Linked DNA regions of Drosophila melanogaster. The protein of the gene in region 4 interacts with the protein of the main gene of each other region in a pairwise test. Each region holds a gene or a part of one and is shown on either strand. Other genes may lie near its edges.

Evidence for each region.
Region 1: the proteins of CG3081 (region 4) and CG15370 interact in a two-hybrid assay, tested with the Drosophila melanogaster proteins (one large-scale study listed by BioGRID).
Region 2: the proteins of CG3081 (region 4) and CG7017 interact in a two-hybrid assay, tested with the Drosophila melanogaster proteins (one large-scale study listed by BioGRID).
Region 3: the proteins of CG3081 (region 4) and eIF5B interact in a two-hybrid assay, tested with the Drosophila melanogaster proteins (one large-scale study listed by BioGRID).

Annotation. Positions count from the first base shown.
Region 1 is NC_004354.4:9,223,231-9,227,196, reverse strand, and holds CG15370 (uncharacterized protein), read right to left. Parts: upstream 1,761-3,966; 5' UTR 1,742-1,760; coding exon 629-1,741; 3' UTR 509-628; downstream 1-508.
Region 2 is NT_037436.4:20,209,708-20,214,195, forward strand, and holds CG7017 (uncharacterized protein), read right to left. Parts: upstream 2,416-4,488; 5' UTR 2,327-2,415; coding exon 2,317-2,326; intron 2,046-2,316; coding exon 976-2,045; 3' UTR 585-975; downstream 1-584.
Region 3 is NT_037436.4:3,457,713-3,462,887, forward strand, and holds the start of eIF5B (eukaryotic translation initiation factor 5B), read right to left. Parts: upstream 3,266-5,175; 5' UTR 2,995-3,265; intron 2,917-2,994; 5' UTR 2,531-2,916; coding exon 2,460-2,530; intron 2,387-2,459; coding exon 1,236-2,386; intron 1,129-1,235; coding exon 1-1,128. Other genes in the region: CG46463 (uncharacterized protein), read left to right, coding at 3,863-3,958, 4,409-4,591; armi (armitage), read left to right, coding at 4,629-5,072, 5,150-5,175.
Region 4 is NC_004354.4:4,638,578-4,643,029, forward strand, and holds CG3081 (uncharacterized protein), read right to left. Parts: upstream 2,586-4,452; 5' UTR 2,500-2,585; coding exon 748-2,499; 3' UTR 682-747; downstream 1-681. Other genes in the region: pon (partner of numb), read left to right, coding at 1-82; CG3062 (uncharacterized protein), read right to left, coding at 2,791-3,075, 3,256-3,565, 3,617-3,753.

The DNA.
Region 1 (3,966 bases), 4.6 Mb from region 4:
TAGCCTAACTGACTTCCTCAAAAACACTGAGAACAGTAGTCCATGTATGAATGTACCAAACACGATTTCCGTATTTGAAATAATAATAAATAATCAGAATGTAAATATATTATACGTTTTATAGATAGAATCAAGACTTAGGATAATTGCACTAAGTAGTATACTTAAATTCCCATTGCCAAGTGAACCGGTTGGTATCCAAAGTTGAAGTCAATAACAAAAATGAGTGCATTTTACTCTTGCACCATTAGAATATTAGATTTTAGTGTTTAAATAAACTAATTTGAGAATTCAAGATCATAATATGCATACTAATTAGACAGTCTCTTTTTTTTATTACTTCAACTATTCAAATTTGCGTTTTTATTACATTATAATTTTCAAGTGGTCTTGGTGCTTTCCAACTGCTAGGATTGAGTTGAAACAAATAAATAAATAAACAAATAAGTTAACCTTTTGTTTATTACTTCTAACAACTTGATTCCTAGAAATTGAATAACATTTCTTTAAGTGTTTACAAACATTTATTTATTTATCGCTTAAATCTGAAAACTGACTATCGACTTACGAAGCTAGGAAAAAAAAAGTGCAATAAATAGATCTTAGATTAGACGGGGTGTTGGAACGCCTACAGATAGGGCCCACCACTGTACTGGTGATAGCTACTGGATCCATAGCCCTGAACATGACCCACGTTGTAGCTATCGACGCCACTGTATGTTTCGGACGCGGCACTGTTGAATCCCTTGGACTCGGGCCAATCCACCAGGGATTGCGATGGCCGGCGACGCCTTGTGGCCGTAAGCGGTGGTCCATAGGTGTCCGCCGGTTCCTCCTCGCCGTACGGGTCACTGGATGGCACCTGGACGGATGGCCGGAAGTCAGTGCTACTTCCGGCCGAGGGTCGCGAGTAATCGTATCCGAAGGAGGATTCCTGCGGAGCTTCGAGAGTGTACGCTGGCGCTCTGGTTTGCTTGGAGCTCCGCTGGGCCTGACCGTGGCTGGGCGGGATGTAGGCGTGACTGTGTGGCGAATACTTATAGCCCGTATCCGGCTCCTGGTCGATGTGCTCCTCCACTGGTGCGGGTTCCGCATAGGCGCCAGTCTGATGATGATGATGATGATGATGATTTCCCCCGCTCGGATAGTGATATCCATAATCGTCGTCCACCTCCTCCTCCTCAACCGGATGGTGAGTATGAGTGTGATGATGGTGCTGCTGCTTGGGTCGCGATTCAATCACTCGATAAGTCTCCACACTGGGCTCATGGTGATCCTCGTAGTCGTAGCCATGTGGTCTGTGCTGCTCCTCAATGATCGTATAAGTGTTGACCTTCTTCTTGGGCGGCGGCGGCGGCGGAGGAGCTGCCTTTTTGGCATACGTCTCCGTGAGGTGGTCGGCCAGCTCCTTGGCGTGATTCAGATAGTCCGCATGCTCGCTCATGTGCAGCGGCTTGTCCAGATCCGAGAGGATTACGCTCTCCAGCAGTGGACTGGGCTTGGGACGGGCTCGTCCCCGATTGCGGTATAACTGATGCGGATGCGGATGGTGGTGGTAGTGGTGGATCACCTTGTGTGGCGACTCCTCCGCCGCTGACTCCTCTTTGGGCACATGCACCTTGATGTGGACATACTCGTTGCCGAAGCCCGCGACCAACGGTATTAACAGCACCAAGATCACAGGCACCAGCAGGTGGGAACGGCCGCTAATCCATGCCATGTCGTCGCGTCGAGTGGTCATCACCTTATGGTCGCCGCCTTGCCAAAATTGGTTTAAACCGAAGTCTTTCTTTTGTCAAAATTTATATACAACAGCCAATGCTGGCGACGACAAGCATCTTGACCTACGGAGCCCTCGGGTGAAATGGATGACACCTTGCCCTGCGCCGACCTTCAAATGCCCTTTGTGCGTGTATACCTTTCTTTTAGCAAATTAATAATGGATTTCTTTTTGCCATTATTACCTTATTCATTATGTTACTAATATTTTTATTCTCCGATTAATTTGTTAATCTTTAAAGAACTTGCATACAAGCTATCTGCATGAGTTCTTGTAAATTGATAAAATTAATATAAAGTTTCCATTCTGTTACGCAGCGTGGAATCTCCCACTCTGCATCATGCGTTTCTTTCTAAAAAAAATTAATAAATATCTTCGAATTTTTATCAGTTTCTGACGTCTCTGCACTGGACCCTAGTACTGATATCCTAAAGAAAAGAGTGATCATAATATTCCATATTTTTATATAATTATTAACAATAATGCCTTATATAATAAGGATATCATAATGTATGATATAAAAAGGATTATTAATTCGCGAATGTATGAGTAATACTTTGTAGTTCTAGGTTTTTCGATGGAGCGCTGCCAACGGTGTCATAAAACCGAGATGCTCCAAAACGCAGGTGAGTGTAGGGTGTTTGGGGGCAACTGTAAAATGTCATTTTCTTGCAATCACCGTTCGACGGAATCTCACTATCCCGCTCTATCCACACTAGCCCCCCTCCTCGCCCTTTCTCCATCGCACCGAAACTAGCGGTTGTTTTATTTGTTTTAACTTTTGTTTTCATTATTATTGAAATGCGATGCATACATTTTTCTAGCCGCCAGCCAGACGACAACAACGAACGAAAGTTAATACAAATTGAATAATGAAAGCGACCTGATCTGTTCGCAGCTATCGAAATTATCGGGGAAATTACCGTGTTCATTCATACCTAATCGATATTCTCACTTATATAATATCGGCGCATATCGCCAATACTAATTTTCAGTTTCGCGCTACGAAATTAATAAAAAACATTTAATTGTGATGCTAATAGGGGGAAAAAAAATAAACTGAGAAAGTTGCTCTGCGACATCATTATCACGATCATCATTTTCAGTATCATTATCATCGCGATTGTAGGCCACTTGGAAATCTCTCTTTCTCTCTCAGATGGCAAACAAAATACAACGAAAAACAATACAATTAATATGCAAGTGGCATCTGGATTGATTGCTTAAATATTTATTTATTCGCATTTAATTTGCGAAGTCTGAAAATTTAGAACTGAAAACCAAACCCAATCTATAATTCGCTAATGAATATTATGTATGTTCGCGGTTCTCACGCTTTTCATTTGGCGTGAAAATTAAGCAGAAAATCGGGGAATGCAAAATCCAACCCAGTTAAAAAGGCAATAAATGGAAAGAAAAGAAAACGGCGAAACAATCGAAAACGTGTTTATATGGTCGGCAAACAAAAGCGAAAATATTCATGGTCAGTTTGTTGGTCGAAAGAGGGGGTAGCATCGGGGTATGCCGGATATTTCCAGCACTCATATTACGTATACGCAAAGAAAAGGGGTAACACAATGAGGCAAAAAGCGTTCCATTAAGCCGCAAAGCCTATTAGACGACGGACTAATTGACTTACCAGCCGAAAGCATTCTAATATCTAGATTTTTTTGGGACGCAGTCAACAACTTCTAATAAGTAGGCTGAATAATCTATGGTTTTTGGAATCTGAAAGTTCTAAGCGGCCCTTAACCCCAGCCGGTTTTGGGCGATGATTTTTTATGTTACACTATAAAATGAAGTTAAAACAAAATTTACATTTGTTCCTAAACTTCCGAAATAACCGTTTGGGGTCAGTGAACTTGATTCTAAAATAATTTAGTATATATGTACAATATATATTCCCAGCTGATCTCTGGACTTGCTAAAAAGCAAAGTATGAAGTCATAGTTATAACTGCAAAATTGCATCAGCCCCTCTAATGAACTTAACCCAAACTACACAGCGTGTATCTCGGTCATTAGTGGGTTAACTAACGGTCGGTAATCGATAACGCCGACGCCGACGCAGCCGCCGCCGCCGACGCTGCAGCAGCGCTCTCTGCCGACGCCTGCCTTCGTCGGCGCGAAAACAAAACAAATCAGTTTGAATTCTGCCTTCAAGCGCTCTAGAACAAATCAGCTGGC
Region 2 (4,488 bases), on a different chromosome or scaffold from region 4:
CATTATAGCGAGGCTGCAAAGTTGCCCCGTTTGTCATTTGAATACTTGACCTTTCCTACATACAAATCAATCATCCGCCCTGTGGACTTGTATAACTTCCTTCTTAAAGTGGACATAATTGATTTCTATGGAGAACGAAAGCGCGTCGATGCATTTCATTTGCATTTCACACTCATACAATATTTGTGGACCTAATGGGTAACATCGACCCTAATAGTTGAATTTAATTAGTGATAGACAAAAACGACCCTTGGGCGTTGGATACTTCTTGCTCGCCTGATGGCCAACACGGAAATAAGCGATCGCGGCAGCTCCGAGTAGCGAATTCATTATCTGGACTATCTGGAATCGGTTTGAAATTCTCCGAACCCTCCACTGGGGTACAATTTTAATTAAAACTGATAATTTTTTGGGCACTGCAAGTGTCACGAAAACAGATTGCCAAATATGAATCGTTGTGTGGCGCAGTTTTGATATCAAAAGGGTTGCCAGAAGAATTTTATCACGCCAACTTCGTTTCGCTAATGAACATTTCCGCCAATGTAGTTCAAAAATCAGTCCAAAAAATCATAGTATTTCTCTAGCATTATTTATACCAATTCATATTTTATTGTTCAAGGTTAGGGTAACATCTTCTATAAAGAGGAAGCAGACGGTAAAATTCGAATGGAAAGGGAATAAAACTACAATAGAGCCAAATGCAATGGATAAACTATATATATATACATTTCAGGTTTCAATGGAGTAACACATTTATTGGACATTTTTCGAGAAGCTAATATTTGTAGACCCATTTCCATGGTAAAAAGTAAATGGATGAATGTCATAAAACTTAACACTTCCCACCACAAAGTACATGAATTCCTTTCAAGCAATGCATTTGACCTCCACCATGAATTGGATCGATTTATTGGATATTTAAATTGGATGCGATTTGGTAAGGATTGTGGTAAGGATGCGATCTTCTGGGACAGCCTACACGGAACATGCGATGTTGTGGTAGTTGGTCTGTGTGCATCCCTGGTTGCGCTCGTCGAAGTAGTAGCCCGTTGGGCACTGGCCCAGGCTGACGGTCACTCCGCCGGAGCAACGTCCATAGCTCTGGCAATCGCCGGCGACGTTTACGTAGGTGATGTTGGTGCCCACACACCTGTCCAGCTGGCAGCGTACGTTAAGTCTGTCGCGGCACGAGAGCTTCTCGAAGTCGAAGTACTGGCCAAGTGGACAGCTCAGGTGCTTGGGCTCCGTGTCGTGCTTGCCGGCGACGGGGCTGCCACAGATATAGTAGTGGGAGCAGGACTCGTCGTCGGCAAAGTAGCCAACGCGAGCGGATCCGGTGGCACTGTCCAGGCAGAAGGTGTTTTCCGGTTCCGGCAGGGCGGCACTCTCGTAGCAGGACACCTCAGCCACATCCACGCAGTAGCCGAGATTAGCATCGTAGGCACTGGCCACTGGACAGGCTCGGCTGTGCAAGACCTCGCTGACGCACTCGTAGTACTGGTCACAGTGGACGGGATCGGCCAGACGGGTGTTGTTCGGCAGGGATCGGCAGGCGGGACTGGTCTTCTTCGTCTGGCTGATGGGGCAACGGTACTGCTTTTCGTACACGCAAGACCTCGATACGGGATGGAAGATCAGCTCGTTGGGACAGTTGGCCTTGATCTGCTTGTGCGACTTGCACAAGATGTAGCCGCGACAATCGCTGCTGCTGGGATCCACGATGAAGGCGCCTTCCGTTTCGTTGGCGCACAGGTTCGTGGCCTTGTCCGCAATGCTGTCGGCATAGGGACACACCGCGGCGCTGGAGGATGCCAGGATGCAGCGGCCTAGCTCCTTGTTGTAGTTGAGTCCTGCGGCACAGCCGCCCTGCTCCAGCACGCTGTAGTTGCTGGCGCACCGCACCCAGTTGTCGCAGGTATTCGGTCGCAGGAAGCTTGTCTCCTGCGGCAGCAGGTCGCACATCTCGGCCACCGATAGGTATTCAAAGTCCTCGATCACGCCGCCCAGGGCGCTGGCCACAAACAGCAGCGACAGGACACCGCTAGCTGCAAGTAAAATCGAAAATCGTGGGAACATTGTGTCAGGAACAGGATGGCATATCCAGTGTGCTTTACCATTTATTAACCCCAAACATGTGAGTCAATTTTTAAATTTAAACTACGATAGCTGGTACGAAAATTACCCTTCTGCCAGAAAGCCCTATCAACTTAAAAACTTAATGTTTGAATTTAATTTATATGTACATTTTTAAAGAGCAATTCTTTCAAACGAAATCCATCACTGTCAATGTTCAGCTGGCGTCCCACTTTAGTTTACCTCTATTCATGTTTTATATCCTTTGGTTAACTTGTATCCTGGTTTCTCGAACGCCCCGCTGCGATCTTGGCGGCACTCACAACTCAAATGATACTGCACCTTCGGAGGCTGGAGCTCTTAAATATGCAAAGGCCATTCTGCTCGGTTTTGTTCGGCGAAAAACAATTTCCAAAATGCACACGCTATCTCAATCAGAACTCCAAGATAGCGCTGATTTTTCGTTCTTCGATTTTTGATTTACTGATGTACGATAGCGGGGCCGCATGTAAATTACACGGCAATAACATCGGAATTGCCTATTTCGCAGAAGAACAGACTCCTGTGGTGGCGGTGGTATCGCATCGGATTGATAAGGGAATTGCATATGTCACGCCAAGATCTCCAAGATCTCAGCGCCATTGACGGTTCTCGAACATCTGAGAAACGCTGGAATAGTCATCTACAGACCGAACTCCCAATCTCATCGAATATCTTAATTCGGAGTTCGGACCAATAAATGAATTGCTGAACGATTTCTGCGTCAACTGAGCTCTTCGTCATGTCTCTTTGAATATTATTATTATTTTTTTGTATCATTTTGTTACCTATAACTATGCTATATTATACGATACCATACTAGAATATACTATACTATACTTTAGCCGCCGTTTACAGAAGTTAATATTCTAATACAATTTCACGTGTCTCTTTTATTTTTGATCTGTCCTTTAGCTTGGTTCAACAGCGACTGACTGCCGCGCTCTCTGCAGAGTGGCGAGTCGATTAGTCGATAAGTTTCTCGATAATATTTGTATGTTAAGGATGGGTGTATGAGTGTATAAGCTTATGACTAGATTGGCTATGTATAATTAGGTATGTATGACTAAGAGTAAAGGAAGAGGGTAGAAGGAGCAGCCTACTACAACTCGGCCGTCCTGACTACTAGATCTCCCGATCGTAGGATTTTATAACAATTAACGTTTCTTAAAGCTAAGGGTCCTGTTTCTTATTTTATTCTTCTTAGTGGAGATACTTTTGAACGGTCTTAAACATTTTTTTGGTTTTCTTTTCTTCTTGTTTGTTTTCTTTGTTTTACAATTGCTTCTTAAATTATACTTTCGATTTCGTACAGAGTTTCTTAAATTATACTTTCTATTTTGTACAGAGTTTCTCAAATTATACTTTCTATTTTGTACAGAGTTTCTCAAATTATACTTTCTATTTTGTAGACTCTTAATTTTTCTTTGCCAGTGTTTTATATTCTGTATGCTCCATACACCCCGGTAAGGATTGCGAGAAATTTGAAATCCATCAACATCTTCCAGAAGGAAGCGATCATTTTTGAGAACTTTGCTTATGACATAGGGTCCTTTATGCTTTGGAATTAACTTCTTAGCTATGCCTGTTGTTGAGTCAAAATTTTTAACCATGACGTAGTCGCCTTTTGTGAACACTCCTGATCGTTTTCGTTTTTTGTCAACATATTCTTTATTGTATGCTTGTGCTATTTTCTGACTTGCCTCGCCTTTATTTCTAATACTTTCTAAATCTCTTTCTTCAATCGTTTCTCCAATTTCCTCAATTTTTTCTTTTAACTCATCCATAATTTGTCCTTTTTGTTGTAACCCAAATAACATTATGCTAGGATACTGTTTAATGCTGCGGTGTAGTGTATTGTTCAGGGTATATTCGACCTTTTCTAAGACTAAGTCCCAGTGTAGACCTTGATCAGGTTCAATTAACTTGCTAATCATTGGACCAAGACTTCGGTTTATACGTTCAACTTGACCGTTGGCTTGTGGCGATCCTGTTGCAATTTTTATGTGTTTAACATTGCATTCTTTCAAAAATGAGTCAAAATCGCCAGACGTGAAACATGCTCCTCTATCTGATATGATACACTTAGGCCTACTGTATGCTCTGAAGTAGTCATTTAACGATTGTATGACTTCTTTTGTGTTCGTAGTTTTTGTTGCGTATAGTCTGACAAACTTTGTGAATGCATCTACTATCACTAGAATATGTTTCTTCGGTCTAGCCAAGTCTACTGGACCATAATGGTCAATATGGATTATTTCAAAAGGTTTGTTTCCCTTAGGTATGTTGTGTAGAAATCCTTCTGTTTTTCCTGTTTTGGGACTGAATGAAATACATTTTAAACAGTTGCTGATATGTGTGCTACACTTCTGTTTT
Region 3 (5,175 bases), on a different chromosome or scaffold from region 4:
CGGTGGCCTGCAGTTCCTCGGAGTACATCAGGCGCTTGGCCAGCATATTCTGACAGAAGTCGGCGATCATAAAGAGCAGGTTGCCCATACCCTCGCCCGAAATGGCACTGGTGGGCACCAGGGAAATGTATGTCTTCGGATCGGTGTTTTCGTAGAATAGAGCAGCATTCAAGCCCTGCTCGGCGAACTGCAGGATCACGTCCTTTGTGCGCTGCTGAAACTCCAGCTGTGTGTTGCTCTGCTGCTCCTTGAGAACATCCCTCACATCCCGTCTGGCCAACTGCTTCCAATCGTACAAACGATCGATCTTGTTCAGGGCCACAATGAACGGACATTTCTTCTTCTTGAGCAGCTGAATGGACTCGATGGTTTGTGGCTCCAAGCCGTGCATAATGTCCACCACCAGGATGGCTATGTCGCAGAGGGATGATCCTCGGTTCCTAAGGTTGCTGAAGGACTCGTGGCCGGGTGTGTCGATGATCAATAGACCAGGCAAGCGATGTTCAAATCCAGCGGCCGCCTTTACGTACTTAGTCTGCTCCTTAATTGCTTCGATGGGAACGTTTGTGGCTCCAATCTGCTGAGTGATGCCACCCGCTTCGGAATCCTGAACGTGTGTGCGCCGCAGTTTGTCCAGGATCTTGGTTTTTCCTGTATCTACATGACCCAGCACGCAAACCACTCCAGCTCTGAGTTCGTCGGTGGAGCGCTTCTTTTCCGCCTCTGCTTGCCGTTTTAGGATTCTGGCTTCCGCACGCAGTCGTCGTGACTCTGGATCATTGGCCAACACCGATACTTCACGGGAATCGTCACTATCCCCATCGGAGTCATCGCTGTCATCTTCATCATCGTCGTCATCTTCATCGTCATCTGTATCTTCGTTCTCTTCCTCGGCAGCCTCGGTCTTGCCATTGTTAGTGGCCTGCGACGTTTCTTCCTCGGGCTCTGGCTCAGCCTCACTATCGGTGGCATCCCAACTCTCCTTGACCCTCTCTTCCTCGGCCTTTTCGGCAGCAGCTGCAGCGGCAGCAGCGGCGGCCGATTGGGCTTCCGCTTCCGCTGCCTTGGCCTCCTCTTCGGCGGCCTCTTCCTTAGGGCCCTTCTTTTTGTTCGGACGGATACGAGTTCCTGAAAGACATGAATCAGTTAGTTGAGATAATAAGCTAATAATGTTACAAGGCAATACAAAACTGAGGTCGTGGCATACAAATTTAGGAAGAAAGCCATTTACATACCTGGCCGCGTGGGTCGCTTGTCGTTCGGATCGGGAATCTCGAGACCCTGAGCCTTTAGAGACTCCAGGAGAGCCTGTGCCCTAGCCCTATCCTCCTTCTGCTTCTTGGTGAGCAGTTTTCCTTCCGCCTTCAAGCGAGCCTTGCGCTCTGCCTCGCGCTGCTTCTTTTTCTCCTTCCTCTCTGCCTCCAGACGCACTGCCTCCAGGCGGGCTTCTTCGCGCTCATCCTCCAGGCGAATTCGCTCTGCCTCCTCCCGCTCCAGGCGCTCCTCCTCCTCCTTTCGCTTTCTTAGCTGCTCCTGCATGGCCGCCACCATGGAGGCAGACATACCCTTCTTCTTGGCGTCCTTCTTCTCCTCCTCAGGCTCGGCCTTTTTGTCTTTCTTGCCCTTCTTCTTGTTTTTGCTGGACTTTTCCTCCTCTTCCTCGGCGGCGGGCTGGACTTCTTCCGTAGCCACAGGCTCGGGTTCTGGCGCAGGTTTCTCCACGGGCTTCGGTTTGGGTTCAGTAGCTGCCTTTTGCTTGGCTAGGGCAGCCTCCCTCTTTTGGCGCTCCTTCTTTTCCTTCTTTTTCTGGGCTGCCGACTTCACAGTGCTGCCGCCCTCCTCGTCATCGCTGGCCTCATCCTCTCCGGCGTTTTCTGCCACTGCAGCCTGCTTGGCCTGCTTCTTGTTCTTTTTTTTCTTGGAGAACTCATCGGCCAATTCTTCGGGGGAAACAACAGTAGTGGCAGCAGGAGCAGCCTCGCCGGCGTATTCCGCTTGAAGCTCAGCTAAAACCTTGTCCAGATCTTCATCGTCGTCGTCCTTCCCCTTGCGTTTGGCCTTTTTGCCCTTCTTTTCGTTCTTCTGTGGCTTGGAGACCACTACCTTTTCCTCCTTCTCAGACTGGCTTTCCTGGGCAGCTGGCTCGTCCTGCTCGTCGTCGTCCATTAGCAGCTCAAAAGCCGACTTCTTAGAAGCTTTGCCCTTGGCGGGCACCACCTCCTCCTCATCGGAGTCGTCATTTTTGCCTGCTTTGCCTTTTCCCTTGACATTAAGCTTCTTGACCCCCTTGGTCACGGCTTTAACATCGTCATCGCCAGCTTGATTGCCCTTCAGGGCATGATTCTGCTTGTTGTTGAGGCTCAACTGGTCGCTGTCCACATCGGAGCTGTAAGATTGAATAATTTGCGATAGAAAGTTTGCCAAGTTGGCAGGTGGGCATGAACTTGCACAAGACTCACATTTCGTCCACCGAGGAACCGCCTTCGACCTTGGTCAGTATCTCTTTCTTGCCCTTTTTAGCTTTAACCATCTTCCCGTTTGCGACTGCAACACGCTCCTCCTCTGGCCGAAAACAAAAAGCCGTGGGTTATTCACCGCTGAAAGATACGCACACGCGACGCCTCGGCAGCCAAGAAAAAGAGGAGGACTGTCCACTGGGTTCTCCTGGTGCTGGTGATCTTCTGATGGTGACTCCGCTTCGGTGGCTCCAGCGACGACGTCCTGCTCCGGAATTGTGCAATCGACGGCTAGATCTGACACGGCGCTTTGCCAATTTTTGGTTTTATTTAGCCGAGGAAATTCTGCACACAAGCACGTTGTCGAGTAGTACGGTGCGGGAGGGTTGGACAGGCAGTGTGACCGTGCGAGTGGATTGCTGAAAATCACAATGGCTGAGCTAAGGTTATCGATTATACCCTGTAATATCCAGTTGAGCGGGGTATTTTTGTTTTGAGTCTATAGTTGTACATAAAGATATATTAAATATATATACACCTTTTTCAATAGAATCGCGGCCTCGGCGCTGGCGTGCGCTGTTTACGGGAACCATTTATCGCCTCTGGTGCTCAGTTTCTTACTCATCAGACATAGGGCAGTTGGTTTTATTGGTTTTCCTAATTGGTAAATTATTTCAACTGCGAAAAGTATTGAACATACTCTTAAATAATATCGATCACTAGGGTATTTATGGAGAAAGAAACCATCTATGGACTTTTTTACACATATACTCGAAAAACTTTCCGGATTGCGGAAAGATATTTGGCATATTTTGGAATTTGATTGCTTATTTCTTAAATGTAAGTGACAGATAACTAACAGGTACTCTTGAAAAAAAGATAAAAGAATAAGAACAAGTTCTTCGTGTGTATTATTTTTGTGAGGAGGTAAATTCCAAAAACAAAAACTTAAATGTGGACTGCCGATATTTTATATACTTTCTTGAGTTCTTTACTTTACATTTTTGTTTCATTTTATTTTTGAGAACTTTTTTTAAATAAGGAAAATATAAATACATAAGCAACTTCCTCACGTTTCATATTCCACCGCTTTAATTTGACACACTTTAAGAAAATACCACAGCCAAGGATATTTTCTACGCCGCTAAGTCCGGTCACACTTAAAAGTTCGCCAAGACGCTTTGTGCTCAAAATTTTGCTCGAGAGTTTTTTCGAATACTATGACTATTTCCCATTGAACTCTTAAAACTCAAAGTGCAGTGCATCTACTAATTCAACAGCGTTAAGAATATTTGTAAGTACGAGTACAAATAGCAAATCCGGCTGTGCATTTGCAAAAAGCCGGTAAGGAACTCACATATTTGGTCCACAGCTTGATAACCAAGGTAAATCCGCGTGATTGGACAATGTCCAGCGAAGCATCCGGAAGTATAACCATCAAAGAAGAAGCATCTACAAGCGGTACGGCCACCAATATTCCCGTTGAATCCAGTGAAACAGAGGTATGAGTTTGTTGTTGTTGCCATCCTTGTTTTGGCGTGGTAGAAGGAGACGAAAGCAGTGCAGGAGTAACTGTTGCTGTCGCTTTTCTTGAGACTTTCGTTTGCTTTTTCTCCATTCAAACTGTTGCTTTTTTGCAGTTATTTTAACAGCCTAGACTAAAAAACAAATCACTATTGAATTCAAGAACCCTAACACAAAGTTTTTAATTTTCCGTTACAAAACATACAGAAAATGTATACAAATGTTAATTTTTTTATTTTATATATGCTCTTATAAATACATTTAAATTTATAAATAAATATTCTCTAAATATTTCAAAAATTGTCCGTAGAAGTAAAACAACAAAATGTTGTTAAATGAAAATTGTAGGATATTTAAGCCTTCGGTGTCATAGAAGGTAACATTGTATGTTCTCAAATGTTTACAATACAGATGGTCCACATTTCCAGGCTAAGAAACCCGAGATCGGAGCTGACAAGGCGGAATCGCAGAGCGAAACCACCGAGGGCGGGAAGGCGGCGGAGACGACGGAGAACCACTTGAAGCGTCTGCAGAATCTGCGCAAGGAATTGAGCTATCTCAGCGAAACCGACTGGATGTACGAGAGTCTCGACAAGAAAGCAGCGCAGTAGGAACGGCAGAGCATTTATCGGCGAAACATTTTCAAAAATGTTCACATACGTTAGCAAGTTTTTCACGAACCCGGATCGTAACCGGGAGGATATTCTGGAAAGTTTGGATCGGGAGAATAGCTTTTTAGACCAAAAACTAATGGAGGAGAAGATGGATCAACAGCTTAAGGCGAATCCAAACGAAATTAATGGGGTTTTAAGTAACAAGATCGCTGAGCTTACGCATGGACTTTCGGAAATGGACGTGAGTAAAGAAAGTTCCTGCACCGCCAGAAAGGGAGTGATCACCAGTCTAGACGGCGATCGGGGAGTCATCGACAAAGACGTTTTATTCGAAACGAAGGTGGCAGAGGATATCATCTTGGATCTACACGTCGGATGTGTAGTGGAATATTTGACTTTTACAACGGGGGAAGCCATGCGGGTGGTCAAGGTGAAGAGTATCCTTGAGCATTCCTGGGAGGACACAAGCCAAAAGGAGGTAAGCTCATCGGTATTAGATTTATTAGCCATTTGTTAAAGCCAATGCTTAATATCTGTAATCCTAACTTCTATTAGATTGAAAAAGCTGTAGACAACCTGAA
Region 4 (4,452 bases):
GAACAGCATTAGGCGGTCCACGCGGGACGTGCTGCGCCATGTGTTCCACAAGAGTCACGATGCCTATGCAACCGCCAAGTGAGCAGGTTGGCTCCACAGATTCAATTGGTGCGTCGATTTTTAGGGGATTTCAAATGGCATTTCTGTAACCGAAAGCATTTAAATTTATTTGTTATTATTTTTGAAATGCGCCTTCCCCTTGTTGAATTGACCCAATTGACTTCTTTTCAATTCGATTTTTCAGCACCTAGTTAAGTTTTTAATTGCACCCAAAGATTGTCACACAAGACCAGCGAAAAAAGGAAAGGAAACCTTATTTCATCTGAAAACCACATCATCACCTAGTTTTTAATCAAGTTTTTTTTCTTAATTTTTCAAGCGAACTCTGCAAATTAATTTGCACACTGTTTATAGTTTTAAGTTACTTGATGTTTGCACGTTTATTCATATATGTATGTATGTATGTTTGCCCATATATCTTTATATATATATATATATATGCTTTCTAATATATATAACATTTGTTTTTTTATACATAAACGTGTGATTTCCTATTCTTGGACCGATTTTTCCGACTAATTTGTGTGTACAGATGCATCAATTTAATGCTAATGACTAGCAAACATTTAAGTTGATAAGTTAATATACTTGCTTAGCTTATGGACATTTTTGTATAGCTTTCAATTATTCATTATCCCGTTTGTCCGGACATTTCTCTCTTGAGCGGACTGCCATCCTGGAGCACACCTACTTGTAGACAGTTTGGAGAAGGGGTCGCCGCCGCTGGTCGATGGGCTTGTAGGCGTGCTGATAGACACTGGCCAATCGCCAGTGCTCTGGATAGCCGCCCTGACCCGCTCCGCCCGCTTGGCTTTGGAAGGGCGGCACCAGGGTTTCGATGTCGTAATTCTTTTTGGCATACGGCTGCCGGGGGCGTGGCACCACCAGAACCCTACCACCGCCACCGCCACCTCCTCCGCAGCCCGGTTCTATTCCCACGAAATCACCGGAGGCATTATGCTTGGGCACTCCGGCGCGAAATGCCGCCTTACTGGTCAAGCAATGTCCGTGTCCGTGTCCATGTCCATGGTGATGACCATGTCCGCCGAACGATGGGGGACAGCATCTGGGAGCTGGAGCCACCTTGTGGCAGAGACGTCGAGCTGGACGCCGGAGGAGAACGTCTCGCTTGCATGGTGGACCACCCGTTGGCCGGCAATCCATGGCCCTGCAATCCTGTCCAGAGTCCGGACCCAAATATTTCTCCCTCAAAGCCTGGTAGGCTTTGTCGCCCAGCAGGGGTGACGATTGATACTGCTTGGCTAGACGATCGGGCATCCCGCGACCGGGTAGCTCCGCCAAATTGCCGAAACTCACACCGCCAGTTGGACCGCCGATGCCCGATCCTCGCCTGCAATGCGATGCACTGGAATCGCGGGAGACACTGCGTGCTCTTTGTCTGGCCGGTGGCGAGTAGTCGCAGGCGCACGGATCCTCGCGATCCACACGGGCACCGCCAAAATCCGTTCGCTTCCTCAGGATGTCCTTGTCGAAGAAATCGGCCTCACCAAGCGTGCTGGTGAAGACGCCAGCCGATCGGCCCAAGTCCGAGGACTGTTCCTCGCGAGGCGTTTTCACGCAGGTGAAGACAGCCGGTCCAGCGGAGTCATTGGAGCCATCTATGTGCCTGGCCAGGCGCGGCTCATCCGATGGATTCGCCGGCTTGAAGTCCCAACAAATGGCCAAATCCATGGGTCCCATCTTTTTGGCCGGAGCGGAGCCAACACCTCGAAAGGCATCGCCATTGCCGAGGGCACGTGGCACGATGCCACCGCCGGTCTTCGGACGAAAGACCTTCATCTTGGTGCAGTGCGTCGGACCAGCATTGTGCGTTTTCACACCCACGCCCGTGGCAATGGGATCGATTTCCAGGGCCAGGCCAGCATGTCCGCCGGATATTTGCGCTCGCCGGAATGCCAAATCGGCGACGCAATCGGGCAGCGGCTGGTGGTCCAAATTGTCCTGGTGCATCCGTTTGGCCAGCTCGAAATTGGCATATGCCGGCACCACTGGCGATGGACACCGCTCGTTGGGCTTCTCCGTGATCGAGTGCAGCGGCATCTTCTTGATCAAATCGGGTTCGGATACGGATACGGGATCGAGATCAAAGCTTCGTATACCCACCGTCGGCAATGAGATTAGATCCTTGCCCGGCTCCAGGCACGCAAAGCTCAACTCGCTGCTGCGCTCCAAGTGATCCGTATAGCGATTTTGGGCCGCTGCCAATGCCGGAAATTGACGACCGGCCGCCGAGCCCAGCTGCTCCCTGTACTTGATGGGCTGCGTGTCGCGCGTGTCCAAGGTGAGACGACCAAGTGGCACGCTGTCCGTGCTGTTGCGTTTCTGGTCGAGGAGCTCCTGGTGCGAGGGCAGCCGGAACTGCGGCTCTGTTAGGTCGCCCGGCGTGTAGCTCAGTTCCGGGAGAGCTGTTTGCGACATGATTGGATGGAGTAATGGAGTAGGTGGCTTTCAGGTTCGTTCACTTGTTGCAATGCGTTGGTGGTGCAGAATGGAATGGGATGAGATAAGATGGAGATGGAGATGGAGATGATAATGATGTATGATTTATGTACATATGTAACAGATGGTTTAACCTGGGTTTAGTTATAAAATATATATGCTATATGATTTGTGTTGAGTGCAATCGTGCTGCCCTTTAAAATGTATTTTAAACCTGCGGTTACAATGAATTTGATTTGAATTTCGGTTGAACAAAATAATGAAGTTTTACTAATGGCCCTTCGCCGCCTTGCGCTCTTTCTCCTTGCCCTTATCCTTCGTCTTATCCTTCTTGCCCGCCTCCTTGTCCTTTGGCTTGTCCTTCGGCTTGTCCTTGGGAGTGGCGACAGTCGCCGCCGGTTTCTCCGACGATGGAATCGGCTTGGTCAGCTCATTGGGATGCAATGCCGTTCGTCCTTTGGAAAAGGCGGTTATGGTGCGCTTTCGACGCCGCTTTTCGGTGGCCACACCCGTCGTCTTGATTGCCTTCGGCGTCATCTTCACGGTTTTCTCGCTCTACGGTTGCAGGTGAATGTGAATGTGAGTGTGCAGGGTGCAGGATGAAAGTGCAAAAAGTGCAACCAGAAATGAAAATATGTATAGCTTGGTTGCAGATAACTCAATAATCTGGGTGCACATAATTGGTAAGAGGTGACACCGATGGTGACCCCGATGGTGACCCCGATTCCCACTCACCACCACGTCGCACTTGGCCCGATTGCAGCGCGCACTCCGCTCGCTCAACGCCCTCAGCTTCTGTAGTCCCTCGCACTTCGTCTGGCACCGTTCGCGCATCCAGTAGGGATCGTCCTTGTGGCCCAAGGTCAACCGCTGATCGCAGGCCAGTGCCCTGCGGTTCTCTCGCTGACAATTGCACAGGTCACGCGGAAAGTCAACAAACTTGTACCGCCCACTCAGACAGGCATCGTAGTGGGCGCAAAAGGCACGGGTTATTCGACGCGGTAGCTCGTAGGTTCCACGATATTGGCCAAATGAGTTGCCCTCCCTGTGGATTAAAATTAAACTGTATAATTGTGGGGCATTGGCAATTGCTTACTTTATCACTTCGGGCAGCAGGTGACCGTTATTGGCCGCCACAACCTTGGCGTTCTTCTGCAGACCACGTGGGCGGGGTGGTGAGAATCGCGGATATTCCCAGTTGTTGAGACGCTTCGACTGGAATCGGCCTTCGAACTGCAACGAACGAGTAAGTAAGGAACTCGATGTCAGGGAGCTGGGCATGGGCATGGGCATGGGATTAGCCAGGAGTCGATAGACACCTGTTAGGAAAACGCGCACGCCCCCTGCGAGTAATGCCCTTATTTATGGTCCCAGCGCAAACAAGGCAATTGATAAAAAGAAAGAACAAAAAAAAAAAAAAAAATTGTAGAAGGAGCAGAGCAGAGCAGAGCAGTAGCCCACCCCGCAGCCGTGGCCAAATGTCAATCGAAAACCGGAACCCACCCCGGGCGAATGGAGGTGGGGCCAATTACACGGCGTAATCTCTACGCTGGAACATGTGTAGAAAGGCATTTGTCTAATGCCACTTAATGCCTTGTTTGTGTTTGCCTTTCTAAAAATTTCCAACATCTCTGCGCGCGCTAAAAAACGAGCCACTGCATCTCATCCAAAGCCCGGACCATTTATCAGAAGGATTAGCCAGCCCTAAGCGGGCACAGGAGCAAGTGAGCCCGGCAATATGCCTGCAATTGAATTGGATTGAACTACTATGTGGCATAATTGAATATGAATATGAGAAGTGAAATCTGTTAAATGGAAGATCATCTCTTCCAAAAAAAAAAAAAAACATGGAGCAACATCCAACTTTGGGAGATTCAAAGCTTTCAGGCTGCGTGGTCTTCCCACGCGTACGAATTTCAATTAAGGAATGCA